6 separate regions of the Mus musculus genome follow, and all the other regions are reported to be linked to region 5. The links are microRNA targets in miRTarBase. Many come from high-throughput screens and were not tested one by one. Region 5 holds a microRNA gene; each other region holds the end of a gene's coding sequence.
The links. The annotated mature microRNA mmu-miR-431-5p reads UGUCUUGCAGGCCGUCAUGCA and lies in region 5 at 2,035-2,055, opposite strand. An mRNA with a match to its seed (bases 2 to 7 or 8) in the 3' UTR can be bound and repressed. Matches are read on the target gene's strand: a 7mer-m8 pairs with bases 2 to 8, a 7mer-A1 pairs with bases 2 to 7 and ends in A, and an 8mer does both.

Region 1 (3,120 bases), not on the chromosome of region 5:
CGACCCCGAGACCTCGTCTACTCGCAGCTGTCCCCACAGTACCACAACCTGAGCTATTCATCCAGCCCCGAGTACACCTGCAGGGCATCCCCAAGCATCTGGGAGCGTCTCAGACTGAGCCGACGGAGACACAAGGATGATGCGGAGTTCATGGCGGCTGGCCACGCCCTGCGCAAGAAGGTTCAGTTTGCCAAAGACGAGGACCTGCATGACATCCTAGACTACTGGAAAGGCGTGTCTGCCCAGCACAAGTCCTGAACCTCCCTCCACCCTTTGGCAGGGCCCAAGGAAGCCTGGCCCTGTCCTCTCCGAAACTCGTGATGCCCATTGGACCAAAAAGGATAGACCACCCACAGCAGCTATCCCTGACTGAGACTTAACACTAAATCCAACATATGTGCACAACCAGGGGCCGCTGCATACAGCACCTGGCCCACAGGGACAGCTTGGGGAGGCCGCAGGTGGCCGAGACAGTAGATATACTAACTTCCATGTAAACTGTAATGTGCCTGCTGCCTGGTGCAAGCAAGCAAGACACACACACACACACACACACACACACACACACACTCACACACTCACATACTCACATACACTCACACATTCACACACTTACACTCACACATACATTCACACACACAAATGCACACACATGCATGTGCGCGTGCACACACAAACATTTGCACACACTCACACATGCACATGCACACACATGCACACATGGGACTTCGGAAAACTGTGTCTTACGGGTGGGGGTGGGGGAGGGGAAGTTTTTCCATTATCTTTCCTGTTTTGAGTCTTCTCTTCCTTTTCCTTCTTCTCTCTCTTTATTTTCTTCCTTTTTAAAAAATATATATATAAAAGTGAAAATCTTTAAAAAAAATAAAAGAGAGAGAAAGAAGAAAGAACTAAATCACCTAGCGTGGGGCATGTGACCAAGTCTAGCCAGCTTCATGGCACCCCCTAAATATGATCTCCCAGGCTGTGGAGTGCAGAGGGGTGGAGCATCTGGAGCCTGTGAGACTCTAGTGGGGAGGTGAAGACTGTGCCTGGGGACCAGTCAGGGTGGCAAGAGGGGTGCAGGCTGGGAAACATTGTGTGGTCCCTCCACCTCGACCCCATCTTTATTGTACACTGTAGCTGTTCTATTGTACAGAAAAAAAAATCTATATTTGCAAAGTTTGCTGTAAAATGAGAGAGAGAAAAAAAGACTATGTCTACTAAAAAAAATCTGCAAAGGAAAAAAAATCCAAATACATGTGTTCTGTGGGTTTTTACTGGGGTAGTAGTGGTGGTTCAGGGTCCCATTTAGGCAAGCAATTGTGGATCGTGGCTTTGATGGGCTCAGTGGGAGCCTATGGGAAAAGTTGTGGCTCACACTGGGCAAGGAAGTGTCCAGCCTCTTTGAGGGCAGGAACAAGTGTGAATGGGTCAGAAGCTAGAGGCAGGAGGAGGCTGAGGAGGGTGTGGCTATGCCAGGGCCTGTGTGCAGACCTAGTAGCTGAGGGGTGGGGACAAACAGGGACAAACAGGGGCTCCTCTGAACATGGTGGTCATGGTGGAATTGGTTAGGGTGCAATGGTTACAGGGTGTGTCTGTGTGCCCTTCTATACCCAGAGCACCGCCCACATGGAGACGCCTCCTTTCCCTACAACACAAAGCCAGCCTTCATTCTCCCACCACCAGCCCTTGCCTCTCACCCCATTCTCTCTCATGTGGCCTTCTCTGGGTGGTCCCATCCACGGGGGGTGTGGGGGGAGGTGAGTAGCTTTGGTCTTTCTAGAACTGATAGAAGTAAGTCCTGCTCCGAGGCTAACCTCAGTACTTCCTGTTACTGAGACTGCAGTCACCTGTTATCAAGAACATACACCATCTACGTCCCTCTAGCCCAGTGCTGTGATCACCACACCCAAGGCTGGTATCTTCCAGAGAGGTTTAATGCTGTATTGGGAAGGTACACCTTGTTCCTTCATACCCATGGAACCCCGAGGCTATTCTCCCACCTGAGCAGCCAGGAGGCATGTCTCCCAACCAATGTTCCCAAACTGGTTTGAGGACCTTCCCCTCATTCCCCTTAAGGCCCTAGGACTGAGGGCTCCCCGCCCATGGAAAACAATTCCTAACATGGACTGCTGACAAAGACCTAGCAAGACACCGACATCCCGGATCCAAGGAGATGCCTGAAGAGTTGTGAAAAGAAGCAGGCTTCGGTGTCTGATGAGCTGTGGGGAAGGCCTAGATCCCAGTTTGGCTGGAGATGAGGGCAGAGAGGGTGGGGGAGACCTCCAGGGGCTGGGGGCAGCCGTGGATCAACAGCCTCTGCTTGCATACTCCTAGGAATGGGAGGTCATCTTCCCCTCCAACTTTAGCCACCTTCCTTAGATCCACACAGCTCCAGGGTCCAGTTTGGTCTCCTGGGTCCCCGGAGGGGAGCATAGAAGCCCACACAGAGCCCACACTGGATACCTAACCAAGGTACACTTGACAGGTACCTCGCCAGTATACCCTTTAAATGGGCCCCCTTCAAGAACTTCATGCCCTGTTCTTTCTTGTCTGGCCTAACAGGCCCCTCCCTGCTCTGTACCCTCCCAAATGGGGAGCCATAGGTGGTCCAGTATGGTCACACCCAGAGGGGAAATGTAGGCTCCAGAGCTGGTGATGGAGGCCCAGAGAGGGACAATTTTTCTGCTCAGGGGTACCTAGCCACTCAGTGGCCGCCATTCTGGTTACAGGACAAAAGAAGGTGGCCAGGCTTGCTCGATACATTCCCTGTCGCCAAGGAGACAAAATGGCTATTTATAGGGGGACCAGGACAGAGAGAACTGGCACCAAGATGGGGTTTGGTGGAAGAATCATAGGTCCAGAGAGGGGTGAGGGCAGAGAGGCAGGAGGCAGGAGGCAGGGGCAGGATGCTCAGCTGCTGGTGCTCAGGCAGTAGTGCCTACCTAGTCTCCCAGGGTCTCTCAGGGGTTGATGGAGTCAACTCTGAACTGAGTGTGAGCTGGTGACAGAAACCCACACAGCTTCATATCCTCATTAGAAGAGTTCCGAGTATGTTTGATGAGGGCTAGAAGAAGGCTTACACCTTTAAAAAATTTAGATTTATTTATTTTATGTGTA
Region 2 (3,096 bases), not on the chromosome of region 5:
TTTAATCCCAATACGGGGCGTGAAGGTGCATGCCTTTAATCCCAGGGCTCAGGAGGCAGAGGCAGGAGGATTTCTGGGAGTCTAGGCGGCCATTACCTGCGAGGCAAATTCCGGGCAGCCAAATCTACACGAGACCCTGTCTCAAAAATATATTAGGCAGATCTGCTACTGTCCATGTTAGCATGAAACGTAAGCCCTGCAGGAGATGGATTTAGGGTCGGAGCAGGACGCAAGGGCTGGGGGTGACTGATGCACCCAGTAGCACGGCCTCTTCAACATTTATTTTGGCCTCTTTGGAAGGCAATGGGGTGCAGGGCTCCCAAGCTGCATCCACGGCGAGCAAGGCCTTCTGCAGGTAGACATGATCACAGGAAGGCCATGGGAACATTTTGTAGCCACTAGGTGTGTAGTTCAACAGAACCAGAAACCTCAGTGTGAGGGCCCTTTAAGAGGCGAAGGGGAGGTGCCATAAACCCCGCCCCGGCCCCGCGAACGGAACAGTGTCTGTGTAGCACTGCGCGTGCGCTATCCGCACGCGGTTCCGGGTTCGTAGATCTGCAGAGCCGCTGGGGCTCGGTTGGTTTAGAAAGCTGCTTTTAGTGTTCCTCCGGTTCCCAGATCGCCCACCTTGTCATATAGAGGTGGCCGGGGGTAGGGAGTGTGGCCGCTAGATCAAGTTGGGAGTGGCAGCGCCGGGCTTCGAACTCGCGTTCCGCGAGTCATCCTAGAACTGTGATGACTCAGTCTTTGGTTTGTCCGGACACTGTGAGCAGGTGAGACTCAGTGTAGATCTGGGCGCGGGGGCGGAAGAACTGGGAGCTGAGTTGTGGAGACGAGGCCCAGATGGCAGCTAGCTGGGGTCCAGAATCAGGAACCTGGAGCAGCCTGGGGGCGGAGCCAGGTGGTAGAGTCCCGTGGTTTAAGTGGTGTGTTGCCTGGTGCATCTGTTCCCTGGCTGGGGGTGCGGTCTGGTAGTTAAGTTCCTGGCTGTTGGTAGCAGAGTTCTTGGGTGTGGGGCCGGCCGGCCTGGTGGGTGGCTCACAGCAAGGATGTCCAAGTGTTGAGGCCCCTAACCTGGTCCTGTCCTGCAGGGTCAGTTCTGTGCTCAATCGCAACAGCCGGCAATTTGGAAAGAAACATCTTTTTGACCAGGATGAAGAGACGTGCTGGAACTCTGACCAGGTGAGGTGCTTCTATACCCCTTCATTCCAAGTGTAGGGGTGTAGAAGATGCAAGGTTACAGGGTGCCTTGAGATCTCTGGGGAGACTAGAAAGCACAGTGTGCTTGTACCCTTCCTGTGCTGGCCGTGGCAGTGACACTTGAAAGATGAACAGACAAAAAACAAACAAACAAAAAAGGCGGGCAGTGGTGGCACACGCCTTTAATCCCAGCACTTGGGAGGCAGAGGCAGGTGGATCTCTGAGTTCGAGGCCAGCCTGGTCTACAAAGTGAGTTCCAGGACAGCCAGAGCTACACAGAGAAACCCTGTCTTGGGGAAAAAAAAAAGAAAGAAAGATGAACAGAACATCATAGGGCCCTAACCTTGCAGTTACCAAGTGCCTCAGTTTATCCCTCTGCTTCCAGGGCCCCTCCCAGTGGGTGTCACTCGAGTTTCCCCAGTGTGTTCAGATCACACAGCTGCAGGTGCAGTTCCAGGGTGGCTTCTCCAGTCGCCACAGCTGCCTGGAAGGTACAAGAAAGCTGAGAGGTGGGGTGTCCACAGGGTTCCCTGGATTCTTAGCCCATTTCTCCATTGCAGGTTCACGGGGTGGGGAGGCACTCAGCAAGATTGTAGATTTCTACCCTGAGGACACCAATGCCCTTCAGATATCCTGCCTGTCTTGTGGTGGGAGGGATCTGGTTTTCTACAAGCTTCAGGTCTTTGGGTGTGGTGGTAATGGCACTGGGGAGGCTGGGGCAGGAGGATCCAGAATGCCAGGCCAGCTTGGACCAGACCCTGTCTCAAAAGAATCAAAGCTTTGACCTCCTCCGCAGGAGTAGGAACTGCTTCTCTGTGCTTTAGTGCCCTGGAGGGGCAGCAGGAAGATCAGGAGTTCAAGGTCAGCCTCAACTACAGTTTGAGGCCAGCCTGGGTTACCTGAGACCCCCATATTTAAAAGAAAAAGAAAAAAAGGTGCTATTGATTTCTTGCTGGGTATGAGAATCAAGAGCCTTTAGTCAGTGGCCCATCGGGTGGTCTCTGGACTGGGAAGGTGGGGCCTGATGGGTCAGAGATAAAACCACCATTTCCTTGACTGCAAGAAGTCACACCTTCTCCATCCCCACAATGGAGGTGGACCGACTGAAGTTGACTTTTGAGGACACCACCGACTTTTTTGGCCGTGTAGTCATCTACCACCTGCGGGTGCTGGGTGAGAAGGCAGGGTGAGAAGCGGCTATTCTTCCAGGAAGCCCCCCTGGGAGGCACCCTGAAGACCTTCAAGTTCTGCACAGATTTATTGGTTCCTGTTGCGGAGGGCTCTTCCCACCACTGTCCAGGAGCTGCCTTTCAAGCCAGTTGTGGGCTGACTGTCCCTGAGTGCCTGGGTTCCCAGCAGGCTGTCTTCACTCGGGGTCCACAGGCCCCAGGGTGCTCTGGAACAATCTGAGGATGTGGCTCTCCATCACCTGTTGCACTGTGGGAGGAGGTGGGAGGAGGGGTGAGCTGGGGGAGCCGGGAAGAAGGGACTGAAGAAGATGCTCAGCCTCTGATGTAAACAGGAGGCCGTGAGCAGGAAACTGTCCAGCCAAGTGCTTTTCTGCTTTTCTGTTCTTGCTGGGCTGGGCTCACTACCTTGAGAATAGGTTGCTTTAAGGCAAGGTTTGCCTGTCTCCCTTCACTCCTGTATCCCACCCACCCTCCGAATTGTAGCTCTCTCTGCCTCCAGAACCATGAGTCCAAATAAAATGTTAAAAAAAACCAAACACCCCATTTGTGGTACTCTGTTACAGCAACAGGAATGGAAGTCTGGGATGCCCACCCCACCACCAAGAGGAACAATGTGTGGATGTGGGTGGAGGTGATAACCAAGACTACGCCCACCCTGGGCCTGGATGGTGCTGTTTGTATCTCCGAGTGTCTGTGTCCCCCAGAG
Region 3 (3,120 bases), not on the chromosome of region 5:
ATCCCCACGCCGTTTGCAAGTCATGCTTTTCACCCTGTGGACGGCTTCCTTCAGAGTCTGCCTTACCATATATACCCCTTTGTCTTTCCACTGCACAAGGTGGTCTACTTAGGTTTATATGTCTTGGTTAATGTCTGGACAATTTCTATTCATGATGGTGATTTTCGGGTTCCCCAGATCTTAAGGCCATTTATTAACGGGTCAGCTCACCACACAGACCACCACATGTTCTTTGACTATAACTATGGACAGTATTTCACATTGTGGGATAGAATTGGAGGCTCTTTTAAACATCCTTCCTCTTTTGAAGGGAAAGGACCACATAGTTACGTGAAGAACATGACAGAAAAAGAATCTAACAGCTTTGCAGAAAACGGCTGTAAAGGCAAAAAAGTAGGCAATGGAGAGTTTACAAAGAATAAGTAGATTATTGCCCAGTTATTAACTATTTTAAATAAGAAAATAATCTACACAGTCAAGATACCTAGCAAATAAGTGGTGCCATTGGAATGTCAGCATTGCTTGAGTGTCATGCTGAGGGATGGTCCTGACAGTAAACAGCGGGAAGACACCGGGAGCATTGTAATCGCTTGGTTAATTGTCCGACATTGGTCCAGGAACAACTTGTCTTTTCAGCCGGCTGACCTGCAGCCTGTACAGCTCTGAAGCATCTTTAAATACGATAGAAAATAAGCTACTCAAGAAGCTGGTCTGTGTCCTTTTGCCTTAGTCCATGCATACTCATTAAGGAAAAAAAGTACCATTGTGCTAAACGCTACTGAGACTAACCAGGAAACCCTAACGATGAAGATGGTCCTGTCCCGGGAGCGGCTGGCTCCACCGAAGTGCTGGGGAGTTGCAGGACTTCATTCAAATAGGAATATCAGTCCAAGCAAGCTGATACGTGAGTGGCAGTGGATAGGATTTGCTTAATGGCTGATGTAATAAGATTGTACTTCCTATACAGAGGCACCTTACTCTCTGGGGCATTATCAGATTTTAATAAATGAATAAATAAATGGTATTTTTTTTAAATGTCAGCTCTTCCATAATTCAGTCTAGATAGGAGATTATTTAACTGAAGATCTTGGTGAGTGTCATTTTTTTTTCTTTTTTCTTTTTTTGGTTTTTCAAGACAGGGTTTCTCTGTGTAGCCCTGGCTGTCCTGGAACTCTGTAGACTGGGCTGGCCTCGAACTCAGAGATCTGCCTGCCCTTGCTGGGATCAGAGGTGTGCACCACCACTGCCCAGCTTGAAGTGTGTCATTTAAAACCACTGTTTAATAACCCTACAGACATGAATCTGGATAATGCTAGGTATAAACTTGTGGCACCCAGTGACATCTTTTTTTAATCAAGTGGACACACTTTTGATGTATTTCTCAGTTACAAAGCTGACTTTTTTTTAATGAAGGGAATAATTGCCAAGTACTTAAATCTACCTGAGGTACACTTTTAAACCTCATCTTCTATTTCTTCCCTCTCTTCTGCAAATGAACAAAACAAAACATAAAGGTGGTTGTTGTAAGCTAAGTATATTTGTGGAGGGAGAAGATATGTTTTTATAAAGTTATTCTAATGGCTATTTGTGCAAAAAAAAAAAACACCAATAAAAGTTGATCATAACTGCTATTATCCACTTAAATGTTATAGCACAAAACGTCCTTTGTGCATTGGGGTCACTTTGAAGGCGTAGAGGTGATGTGGGTTATAAAATCTGACAGCATCCCAGATGCTCAGAGTCACACTGCACTGTGTGCAAACATCACTCATTGCAACCGTCTCTTTCTCATTTGTTAGTTGACTTTACCAAGTGCTCTAAGGAAGTGGAAACCAGAAGGAACGAAGCTCTGTGTTAGGATCTAGGCTTCCCATTTCTTGGGTACAACCCACTAGAACCCTGGGGTTTGAATACATCAGCATCACTAAGACATGGACTGATTAGGATGTTGGATGAATCTGGCACCTAGCTCTTAGCAGTGTGCTGTGCATACAAAAGGATCCTTAAGATACACTGTTTGGTACTACATCAAGGAACGGTAAACCCCATCCCACCACCACCACCAAATGGGACATCTCCATCATCCCTAACCCCCGAAGGAAGAGGAGGCAGAGAGATTGAGAGCAGAGACCAGGGAAGATGCTGCAAGTCTCTAGACATGAGGGGGCCTTTGTGCTCGTAAGCTCACTATAGCTGTGGCTGTCGATATATGAACCAGCCAGTCAGCATTCCAGAGTGGTTGGGGTCATGGATGGGGTGTGGGGGTTGAGAGGGTCCCACCTCCAGCTGGGAGCTTTTGACAGTTGATGATTGCTTGAGAAGGGAGAGTCCGTTTGCAGTGGTGCAATCTCTAAGTTGCTTTTGCACCACTGGGTTACCTCCCAGGCCAAGGCCTGTTCTGATTGGACTCTGGCTTATAAAGTAAAAGAAGATAGGAAAATTGGAGAGGGATGAGGAGGGGTCTGGGGAAGTTTGGGTATGAGAAAGGTAGAGTGGATATGATCGAAATGCGAGGGGTGTGTATGTGTGTGTGTGTATAATAAAGAATAGCTAAATAAAATTTCAGAGGCACCTGAGCGTTTAGCCTTCAGTTTCACCTCAGGAGTCCCCAAGAGTTAGGACATGTGAGTCAGAGCAGTTGCCCTTCGCACCCTTGCTCTCTCCCACCCACGGGGGCTGAGTCGCTGCCGCCCAGTAGGATCAAGCACAAAGACGGTGGCTCCTGTTTTCTGGGTTCTGTGATGGTTGAGGTCGGTCTTCTGCTAGGCCCTCAGTAGGAGTTCGGTGGAGGAGCCTGCCCTCCCTTCATGCTGGAGGGTGAAAGACATGAAGATGAGTTACAGAAATATGTAAGTAAAATCGAAAACAAGACACTGATCACTGTGAATTATCTTGAATGGGATAAAATTGCTAGTATTTTTGTTGCTGTAGCATTCTTTTTAAAAATGTGCCATAAACAGTCTATAGTAAAATTGAGAGACAAAAATAGAAGCCTGTCTTTACCCTGAAATAGAATAAACTTCCTAAGAAGGGCAGGAAGGCTTTACCAGGGTTTGGTAGAGGAAGAAAAACTTGTTTTCATAAATATTTGCTTTGTGAAGACACGGTGAAGATAATTGT
Region 4 (3,120 bases), not on the chromosome of region 5:
TGCTACAGTGGAGCATAGGATATAGTTGAACCATCTGAAATTCATATGCACTTAATAACCATATGGCACATGGTTACAGGGTGAAACCATTCCAAACCTTGTTAGGTAGTTACATTTGTATCGTAAAGTGTGTGTAGAACCAGTTGGCCTTCCAGAGAAAGGATGCTGTGTGATTGCACAAGGTCCCTTGACTCCAGCGCCTGTCTCTTCTTCCCCACTCCTGCAGGCAATACAGTACGGTACCGAAGACAACAGCACTGCAGTAGTGGTGCCCTTTGGTGCTTGGGGAAAATACAAGAACTCTGAAATTACCTTCTCATTCAGCAGAAGCTTTGCCTCCAGTGGGAGATGGGCCTGATCGACAGCTCAGACTCGGAGTTCCTATGCAGCAGTGTCAGTGGGCTTATCAAGAAACTGGTAACACACAGAAGGCCACCTGTACCCGTGTGTCATTGTGACTGATCGATCCTAACAGTATAAGCTTACCAGCCACATACCCAGTAGTATTTTCATAAATCCTCATCATCATTATGGTCAACTGCACATGCTCAGTGTAAGCATCATAACACAGCTGTGAAGCCGCTGTGCATCTCTGAGCTGAATGGGAGAAGAAGCGGTTTTGGTCCATTTGATGAGTGATGAATCTGTGTTTCCTTTGTAAGGCTAGAGATTGAATCTGGGGCTTTCTAAGTTTTTAAGACTAAGAGGCAGATTTAGTTTCTTTTTAGTAAGTTTGTTCTTTATTCAGTTGGACAGGTATTTTTTTTTTTGAATTTTGATAGCTGGTCAATGTGTTATTTGCAAGTGTTCCTTTTTCCTTTCTCTGTAGAAAGCAGGTTTTCACTGGCTGACCTTGAACTCCTGGGTTCAAATGGTCTTCCTAACGTCAGCTTCCTGAGTACCTTTTAATTTTTTTTTTTTTAAAGCAGAACAAGCATATTTTTTCCCAAGAAGAGTGAGAACATATACCTAGGAGATGGGGGCATTCCAAGGGAGGGATACAAGGGATATAAGAGATAAAGGGATACAAGGTACATTTTAATAAATGTACCTAGGAGTTATAATAAAGCCTAGGTTCTCTATGACTGAATAGTGTACTCTGGATCACTTATTAGTAAATTTAACCCTGCAAAATACATGGCTAAAGTGTATACATATTTATAAATAGCTCTCTTGTGTATTTTAAATATTTTTAGCACTTCCCCATCCATTTCTATTTTTGTGGAGTTAAATATGCTATATATTGGTAACTGTTCGGTAAGCTCCAGAGAAGAATATTCTGAGGCTTTGGTCAAAATCTGTAAAGTGAAACACTGACAGTGCCAATCTTGTGTAAGTTTGTTGCTGTGTGGTTTGTATGTAGCGTTTTTATACCACTTTCTGTGCACACAGTAAGCGAGTTGGGGCCTTTGTTAGTAAAGATAATATTACAATGACTTATACTGCTATAGACATAGCTTGGGGTTTATGTCTCCAATTTCCTCATTTCTAAGATTCATGCGGAAAAAAAAATCTTTTACAAAGGATATTCAAACATGTCAGCTTGCTATGTAAATTAGGGGTGTAAAACCACACTCCTTTTTACCTGCATATAAAATTACTGTCAAACTGTGAATCCCTGAATGTGTGCTTGTAGTTAATCTATATTTTCACAGGGTAATTTAAATTTAGTATATGTGCAGTGAGTGTATATATGTATATTTTGAAGTAATATAAAATTAAAGGGAACAATCTTGTGGCGCATTTATCAGCTAGCTGTAAATTATTGATATATTTATCTCTAAGGACACTCAATAACATTGAGTGTCAAATTCTCTGTAATAAAGATTCAGTTGTTACTGGTAGATAACCACTATGGATTACAAATAAATATGGGGGCCAGTATTGGTGGCCTCTACCTATAATCTCAGGACTTAAGGAGGAGACAAGAGAATCGGGATGGTAACTTTGAAATTAGCCTGAGCTACAGAGCAAGTTCCACGGTAGCCTGAGCCACAGCTTGTCTCCCCGAACAAAGTATCAGCAACAAATGGCTGTAAGAGACATTTTATTAGGTGTCACGTATGTGGATAACCAAAGAACAGAGGCAGACATATCGTTGTGTGGTAATTCGAATATAAAGTTATGGGATATGAGAAGAACAGGAAATGTCAAAAGTGACTTGGAATTTTATGGCAGAAAACAAAGGAAAAATAATGAAATATATATACCTTCAAGTCTGACATGTTTTCTGCCTTTAACTTTTGTTTAAAATATTTAGTAGAAATAAAGAATAAGTTCTCAATAAAGAATTTAAGGGGGCTGGTGAGATGGCTCAGTGGTTAGGAGCACCCGACTGCTCTTCCGAAGGTCCAGAGTTCAAATCCCAGCAACCACATGGTGGCTCACAACCATCCGTAACAAGATCTGACTCCCTCTTCTGGTGTGTCTGAAGACAGCTACAGTGTACTTACATATAATAATAAATAAATCTTTAAAAACTAAAATTAAATTAAATTAAAAAAAAAAGAATTTAAGGTCTTTTCATGGATGTCAGTTGAAAGAAACAATGCTTTTCCAGACATGTTAGCTTACATGTGCAGTTCCAACATCTGGGGAGGCTGGGGCACAGTCATCCTGAATAGCAAGAGCCCAGGTCAAGGGACAAAATACACGGAAGAGAGTAGAGGACGTGCTCACTGTCCGAGGAAGAATGGGGAGACTAGCAGAGCTTAAAGGCCTTCTTGTTGAGTCTGGTGTTGAAAAGTTATGAAAACAACGTGTTTGTTTGTTTGTTTGTTTGTTTTTTTGTTTGTTTTTTGGTTTTGGTGTTTTTTTTTTTTGGTGTTTTTTTTTTTTTTTTTTTTGGTTTTTCAAGACAGGGTTTCTCTGTGTAGCCCTGGCTGTCCTGGAACTCACTTTGTAGACCAGGCTGGCCTTGAACTCAGAAATCTGCCTGCCTCTGCCTCCCAAGTACTGGAATTAAAGGCATGTGCCACCACATCCTGGCTTGAAAACAACTTTTAAGAGTATGGAGAACTTGTAAACTAATATGCACAACAAAATTCTCAAACATTAAAAATGACAACGTGGTGTGTCTTATTTGTTTCTGTTTTGTGTTCTTCACATTGCTGGTCTCCC
Region 5 (3,120 bases):
TCACAATGAACTCATACTCTGACGAAGGGAACAACATTGTTCACTTCATCCTAAAAGACATCCTAGGGTTGTTTGTGATTTGCCATGGCAGAGAGGTCCTGGTCTACTCAATGAGCCAGGAGGAACACTCCCAGCATGTCCGCCAAGTCCTGGTCCGCTTTCGGTATCACAACATCTACTGTTCACTGGACAAAACTCAGTTCCATCGCCAGACCGCTGAAATCTTGGGCTTCAACATATCCCCCAAAGGGGTGAAACTGAACAAGAACCTTATGAACCTCATCGTGGGGTGCCCTGTCCCTGGCAGCAGGAGGTGTCTTCAAAGTGTGATTGACCTTGTCTATCCCTATCGCCACTTCGTGGAGAACTTCGCTGTCATCGCAGCACCCCTAGTGAGACAACTGCTGAGTTCAGAGCCCTACTACTGGGGAGAAGAGGAGCAGGAGGCCTTGGAATCCCTGAAGAGGGCTTTCCGCAAGTCGCCCGTTCTCTATCACCCTAAGCCTCAGAACCCATTCTACTTGGAAACAGACATCACTGGGTCATTCCTGTCTGCCTCCCTGGTCCAAACCGACGACGAAACTGGCAAGAAATCTACCTGTGCTTTCTATTCAAGACCCCTCTCTACAATGGAGGTGGAGTACCCTCGAGTGGAGATGAGGATCCTTCCAATCCGGGCTGCCTTCATGGTGTGGTGCCGCTACCTGGAGAACACCGAGGAGCCCATCATGATCCTTCTCAACACAGAGGATCTAGCCTCTCTGAATAATGACAGGCTCACCGTACTTCTCCCCGGGCATTGGGTCTTCTTCTTCTCACACTTCAATTTTGGTGTTATGGAGATGCCAGCTGAAGGTGACACACAAGCACTCTTCCGCAGATGTTGGAACCAGAGAGGCTTCAGAGCAAGGTTTCTGCGCCCACTGCTGCTTATGTCCATTAGGGCAAATCTAAGGTACTTTGACAGATCCTCTGAGACTGAGGATAAAGAGGATGATGAAGAAGAGGAGGAGGAAGATGGTGAAGAAGAAGAAGGGGAGGAGGAGGAAGATGGTGAAGAAGAAGAAGGGGAGGAGGAGGAAGATGGTGAAGAAGAAGAGGAGGAGGAGGAAGATGATGAAGAAGAAGAAGGGGAGGAGGAGGAAGATGGTGAAGAAGAAGAAGGGGAGGAGGAGGAAGATGGTGAAGAAGAAGAAGGGGAGGAGGAGGAAGATGGTGAAGAAGAAGAAGGGGAGGAGGAGGGAGAGGAGGAGGAAGAAGGAGAGGAGGAAGAGGAGGAAGAAGAGGATGAGGAGGAAGAGGAGGAGGAAGAGGAAGAGGAGGAAGAAGAGGAGGAAGAAGAGGAGGAGGAGGAAGAGGAGGAAGAAGAGGAGGAGGAAGATGAGGAAGAAGAGGATGAGGAGGAAGAAGATGAGGAGGTGCCCAGCATGGTGCGGGAGCTACTGGCTGCCATCCCGATGGACCATATCCTCAATGGCTTACTGGCTCACTTCAGTGTGGCCCAGATCCGGGCCGTTGTCCTAAACTTCTTCCGTGGCCTGCTCTACTGGAAGAGTCTCCTGGGTGTGGCAGCTGTCCTGGTGATGTTGAGAGCAAGGCAGCCCCTCTCCCCAGTGCCTGCCCCTAATTTGGAAGTGGCCAGGCCTCAGCACCGGCACACACTCCGACTCATCCTGGACTCGACCCTCATTGCGAGTAGTGGCATGGCCACAGCCATCGCTCAGTTGCTCAGCCAGATGCCCCCTCTAGTGGGTGCCAACACCCTCCCAGCTCGAGAGCTGGCTGAGCTTTTCCTGGGCCCAAGGTGCTGGCATCGGAATGCTCTGCATTCCCAGCCTCCACGGGGGATGCGCTTCACCCCTGGGTTCTGGTTGACCCTGTGTGAGTTCTTTGGGGTCAGAGTCAACCCTGAGGATGACGTCTTTCCTGACCCTTACCAGCACCGGTACTTGGAACTGCACGTCGTTGGGGATGAAGATGTCGTCTTGCGAGAAGCCCTGCAAGACGACCTGCAACGTTACCGTCAGTGTGGCCTGCATGACGGCCTGCAAGACACCTCGCAGGACGCGCAGGACAACGACGTGCAAGAGGACCTGTTTGGCGACCAGGAAGCGGTCACCTTCAGACCACGAAATCTTTTGGACCCAGAGGTCCTAGATTTCCTCAACAACCGGCTACTCTACACCCTGGGCACCGATGGCCGCCTTACTCTGCTTAGCAGAGATCAGGTGGCCCAGGCCCTCACACGATTCCTGGCCATGGCCTCCAGAATGGCGCTGCCTTCCCCAGCCAGGGAACAGGCAAGGCTAGAAGAGCTATCAGACTCAGATGATGAACTTGACTGAAAACACACCAAGTCACTGTCATTTTCCCTTGTGCCTCGGCCAGCTTCGCTCAGATCCAGCACACCCTCTTGCTACTCCTAACCCAAGGGGAACCCACTTGTGAAGGGCCACAACTTCATCAACCAGCAACATCATCTGTGCTAAAGAACTAGCCAACTATCAGCGTCCCAGAACCAGCCAAGACTGTGTAACCCTAACTGTCCTAACTGTCCGGGCCCCAGGCCCACAAAAGGGAGTGAGACCAATGAGGAGAGAGCAGTGATGAGCAACAGTGACCCCGTCACCCCAGGCCAGATGCAGAGCAGATACAGCAGGTGCAGCCAAGCAAGCAGATGCCAGTGACCCCACCACCACCCCCTGAGTGGCAGGCGGCCACCTGTGCATCCTGGGACACTGACCTTGGGTGCTCCACGGACTTCTACCTCTACACCGGTGCTCCGACTCCCCTGGACACGCCCCTACTCCCTCCCAGTCTCCCAAGGTGCTGTGGTTCCATGCTTTCCACAACCCCAGCCCACCCTGCAAGCAAGTCCACCCCCCCCCCCACAACCCACCCACCCACTACCGGTCTGGTCCGGCTCCATTGACACCTCATCTGACCCTGAACTCTGATCTTACCTGGGCAGAACTGCTCCAAGGAGCATTCGACGTACCAGTGTGACTTACCAGATGGACTGATCCACCCTGAAGGTCCCTGAGACTCAGAGGACCCAAGAAAGGGTGGTAGCAACCAAGTGGGGCTCCCTTTTCCCTCCCCAAATGGACATATGGACAG
Region 6 (3,107 bases), not on the chromosome of region 5:
TCTCTGCTCTACACTGGGAACATGACCTAGGGATGGCCTTCACCAAGAACGGGATGAAGTACATCAACAAATCCCTGGTGATCCCAGAGTCAGGAGACTATTTCATCTACTCCCAGATCACATTCCGAGGGACCACATCTGTGTGTGGTGACATCAGTCGGGGGAGACGACCAAACAAGCCAGACTCCATCACCATGGTTATCACCAAGGTAGCAGACAGCTACCCTGAGCCTGCCCGCCTACTAACAGGGTCCAAGTCTGTGTGTGAAATAAGCAACAACTGGTTCCAGTCCCTCTACCTTGGGGCCACGTTCTCCTTGGAAGAAGGAGACAGACTAATGGTAAACGTCAGTGACATCTCCTTGGTGGATTACACAAAAGAAGATAAAACTTTCTTTGGAGCTTTCTTGCTATAAGGAGGAGAAAACCATCATTCCAAGGGGCTCCCCTGCCTCCTACTTTCCAATTTCCTTTTCTCATATGGATCTATAAACAGGGGCTTTAGAGGGATCAGGGAAGGGGACAGTGGTTTAGCTATATAATTTAGGAACCCAATATTGATCCGTATATGCCTTATGGACTAAAATAGTAAATGGAAAACCCAGTACAGCTCATGTTTGATAGAGACCTGCTGGGTTTTAAAAATTGAAACACGCCTCATCCAATGGCACAATCTACTGATTTCAGGACAGAACCTTTCCACAGTGCCCTCTGTCCAAGTCCTTTCTGAATTCAGCAGTTCAGTTAGAGCTGAATTCGACAATGAACTTACTCCAGATCAAGAGCTAAAGACAGAATCCAAAGAAAGACTGAGAAAATGATGTTATTTCTCCAAGAGGCAATGCATTTCCACATTCTTTTGTGCCTAACCTAAAAAATAAGAAAGAAGAAAGGAAGGAAGGAAGGAAGGAAGGAAGGAAGGAAGGAAGGAAGGAAGGAAGGAAGGAAGGAAGGAAGGAAGGGACAAGAAAAGACAAGACAAGACAAGAAAAAAGAAAAAATGGTATTTCTCGTGAATATTCCCTAAAAGGAATTGGTTTTCTGCTGTGAAGGAGAAACCTCACCTTTCTTCTGATTGCATCCTTTAGTATCCAAACATACAAGTGGGAATTCCAAATGCACATGGAACATAGAACACTTTTATTATTGTGAGAACATGTTTATTGAGTACCTACTATGCTCTGGGCACTCAGCCCACAGGACCATGAAGAGAAAGTCAAATTTTCTTAAAAACTAAATGAATCCTCAATACATACTTCCTGATCAACTACCACTCAAAATGTATAACTTCCAAAGTATAACTTCAAGTCAGCCATCTAGGTGGTTTCTTGGGTAAAGGTGCTTGTCATTAAGCCTGACACCTGGGTTTGACCTCCCAGAACCCAAAAGCTGGAAGGAGAGAATTGGTTCCCACAAATTATCCTCAAACCCCCATACAAATGATGTGGCATGCACACATGTAACTAAATAAATAAGTGTAAAACAAAAACAAAAACAAAATTTTAAAGAAAAATTTCAAGTCCTGAAAGACAGCATTCCTGAGAATGTTGTCTCCATCGTTGTCCAGTATAGGCTAACCAGCTGATAGAGACACTGAAGGAATTTAAAGACAGACATCAAGTGAAATGGAGCACTGTAGAAACACTTGATTCATGCCAGGAGTCAATGTACTATGAAGACCAACAACAAAGTGTCAGTCATCAAATCCAGAGGTGTTTATCTAGATCTGCTTTCAAGTTTGGTTTGCAGCCTTTATATAGTCTCTATTACAAATGCTCGTGTCATGGTAGATGCCACAAGGAGTCAGAGGGTAAACTTAGCCCCAAACCACTGCTGAGCCATCTTCTAGGAAACCTTCGAAGCAGAGCTGGGCAGCGTGACTCCCACACAATGACTGGGAAAGTAGTAGCTGATCAAAATTTGTTGAGTAATAATTTGTTAGAAAATTCATCTCCACTGCCTACTAAACCTAAGTTGTATACTATCTAGCTTCTGCTAAGCCAACTTACATTGGCCACTTTTTCTGTCTTCAACTTCTTGAAGTATCACAGGTCTCAGTGAGAACACAGGGAAAGGTGAGGTCGCCTTCCCCTGGTTCTTCATAGGGGAAACCACACCTGAAAGAAGATGAGCAGCCTGAGGTGACCTGGAGGAAGGGCTGTCTCAGAAGAAGGACTTATTTTTTGGCTTAGGTCTAAAACCTTGAGAGTAATGCTCACTGGTCAATTGAGGATGCTTTATCAATGACTCCAGTCTGACTCCAAGGTCAGAAAGGAGAGTGAGATGCTCTCTCTGCCTGCATATATCTTCATGGAACATGAGAATATTGAGCAACATAGACTTATAGGAAAACACTTGCCCAAAAGTAGCCAGAGTGACCTGGTCATCCCCTCTACTAAACCCAAGCTTTGTGTCAAGGGCCTTCAAAGCTGCCCAGAAGTGATCTGGATGGCTTGGGAATTTATCCAAGACAGGAATTTCCTGACAGCCAAAGATGCTTGAGTCCTTGTGCCTGACATGCATTTATTTTGCCCCTGTTTATTGAAGACTGTAACTGTTGATTTGTGGGTATACATACATACATACATACATACATACATACATACATACATATGCTGTCATGAAGGCAGCATCAAACATTACTAATTGGACTCAAACCAGCATTTCTGTTTCCAAGATACTAAGTATTCCCATGCAAACAGGAGCATGCTATTTTTCTAAAGCAAAATGAAAAAAATAGTTTTGAAAGTATATATATGATGGAGTCAAGTGTAATGGCATACATCTGTAAACCCAGCACATGGGATGCTGAGCCAGGAGGATTGCCGTGAGTTTGAGGAGAACAGGGGCTAAATAGTAATTTTCAGGAAAGCCTTGCCTATATAACAAGACCTTGTCTCAAATGAAAAAAAAAAAAAAAATAGACCCCAGGCTGGTCCTTGGAGATAAGGTAATATATTCATTGGGTGAGGGGGTGTGTGTTTTGGAAAATAGTTAATTTAGTGAGAAATGCTTTTCGGTCAAATGCATCTCAAAGGCTGCTGAATTCAAATCGGGTCTGTAAATGCTTACCTAGTGCTTGCTTGCCCTGGGGACAGAGACATAAA

Region 1: the mRNA of Elfn1 is a reported target of mmu-miR-431-5p. Seed matches in the 3' UTR shown: 8mer at 530-537.
Region 2: miRTarBase lists Rfxank as a target of mmu-miR-431-5p. Seed matches in the 3' UTR shown: 7mer-A1 at 1,839-1,845 and 7mer-A1 at 1,488-1,494.
Region 3: miRTarBase lists Sc5d as a target of mmu-miR-431-5p. Seed matches in the 3' UTR shown: 7mer-A1 at 1,132-1,138.
Region 4: miRTarBase lists Ppm1k as a target of mmu-miR-431-5p. Seed matches in the 3' UTR shown: 7mer-A1 at 2,854-2,860.
Region 6: miRTarBase lists Tnfsf15 as a target of mmu-miR-431-5p. Seed matches in the 3' UTR shown: 7mer-A1 at 975-981, 7mer-A1 at 980-986 and 7mer-A1 at 2,467-2,473.

The regions. Positions count from the first base shown.
Region 1 is chr5:139,973,472-139,976,591 of GRCm38, forward strand. Elfn1 (leucine rich repeat and fibronectin type III, extracellular 1) reads left to right here. Exons shown (of 2, transcript NM_001384186.1): 2 at 1-1,254. The coding sequence ends at 258. Among named protein-coding and RNA genes, the nearest start is that of Elfn1, 67 kb to the left of the region's middle.
Region 2 is chr8:70,130,827-70,133,922 of GRCm38, forward strand. Rfxank (regulatory factor X-associated ankyrin-containing protein) reads right to left here. Exons shown (of 9, transcript NM_011266.2): 9 at 1-2,637. The coding sequence ends at 2,567. Nr2c2ap (nuclear receptor 2C2-associated protein) reads left to right here and starts at 501. Exons shown (of 5, transcript NM_001025586.2): 1 at 501-773; 2 at 1,092-1,182; 3 at 1,586-1,691; 4 at 1,761-1,828; 5 at 2,271-2,926. The coding sequence starts at 736. The coding sequence ends at 2,390.
Region 3 is chr9:42,252,648-42,255,767 of GRCm38, reverse strand. Sc5d (sterol-C5-desaturase) reads left to right here. Exons shown (of 6, transcript NM_172769.2): 6 at 1-1,591. The coding sequence ends at 426. Among named protein-coding and RNA genes, the nearest start is that of Sc5d, 10 kb to the left of the region's middle.
Region 4 is chr6:57,507,956-57,511,075 of GRCm38, reverse strand. It overlaps Ppm1k (protein phosphatase 1K (PP2C domain containing)), which reads left to right. Exons shown (of 7, transcript NM_175523.5): 7 at 227-3,120. The coding sequence ends at 358. Among named protein-coding and RNA genes, the nearest start is that of Ppm1k, 26 kb to the left of the region's middle.
Region 5 is chr12:109,589,394-109,592,513 of GRCm38, reverse strand. It overlaps Mir431 (microRNA 431), which reads right to left and starts at 2,067; the gene lies at 1,977-2,067. Rtl1 (retrotransposon Gaglike 1) reads left to right here. Exons shown (of 2, transcript NM_184109.2): 2 at 1-3,120. The coding sequence ends at 2,345. It overlaps 6430411K18Rik (RIKEN cDNA 6430411K18 gen), which reads right to left and starts at 977. Exons shown (of 1, transcript NR_002848.3): 1 at 1-977. It overlaps Mir433 (microRNA 433), which reads right to left and starts at 799; the gene lies at 676-799.
Region 6 is chr4:63,726,898-63,730,004 of GRCm38, reverse strand. It overlaps Tnfsf15 (tumor necrosis factor (ligand) superfamily, member 15), which reads left to right. Exons shown (of 4, transcript NM_177371.4): 4 at 1-3,107. The coding sequence ends at 416. The region is part of intron 1 of Gm42294 (a long non-coding RNA gene); the gene reads right to left. Among named protein-coding and RNA genes, the nearest start is that of Tnfsf15, 17 kb to the left of the region's middle.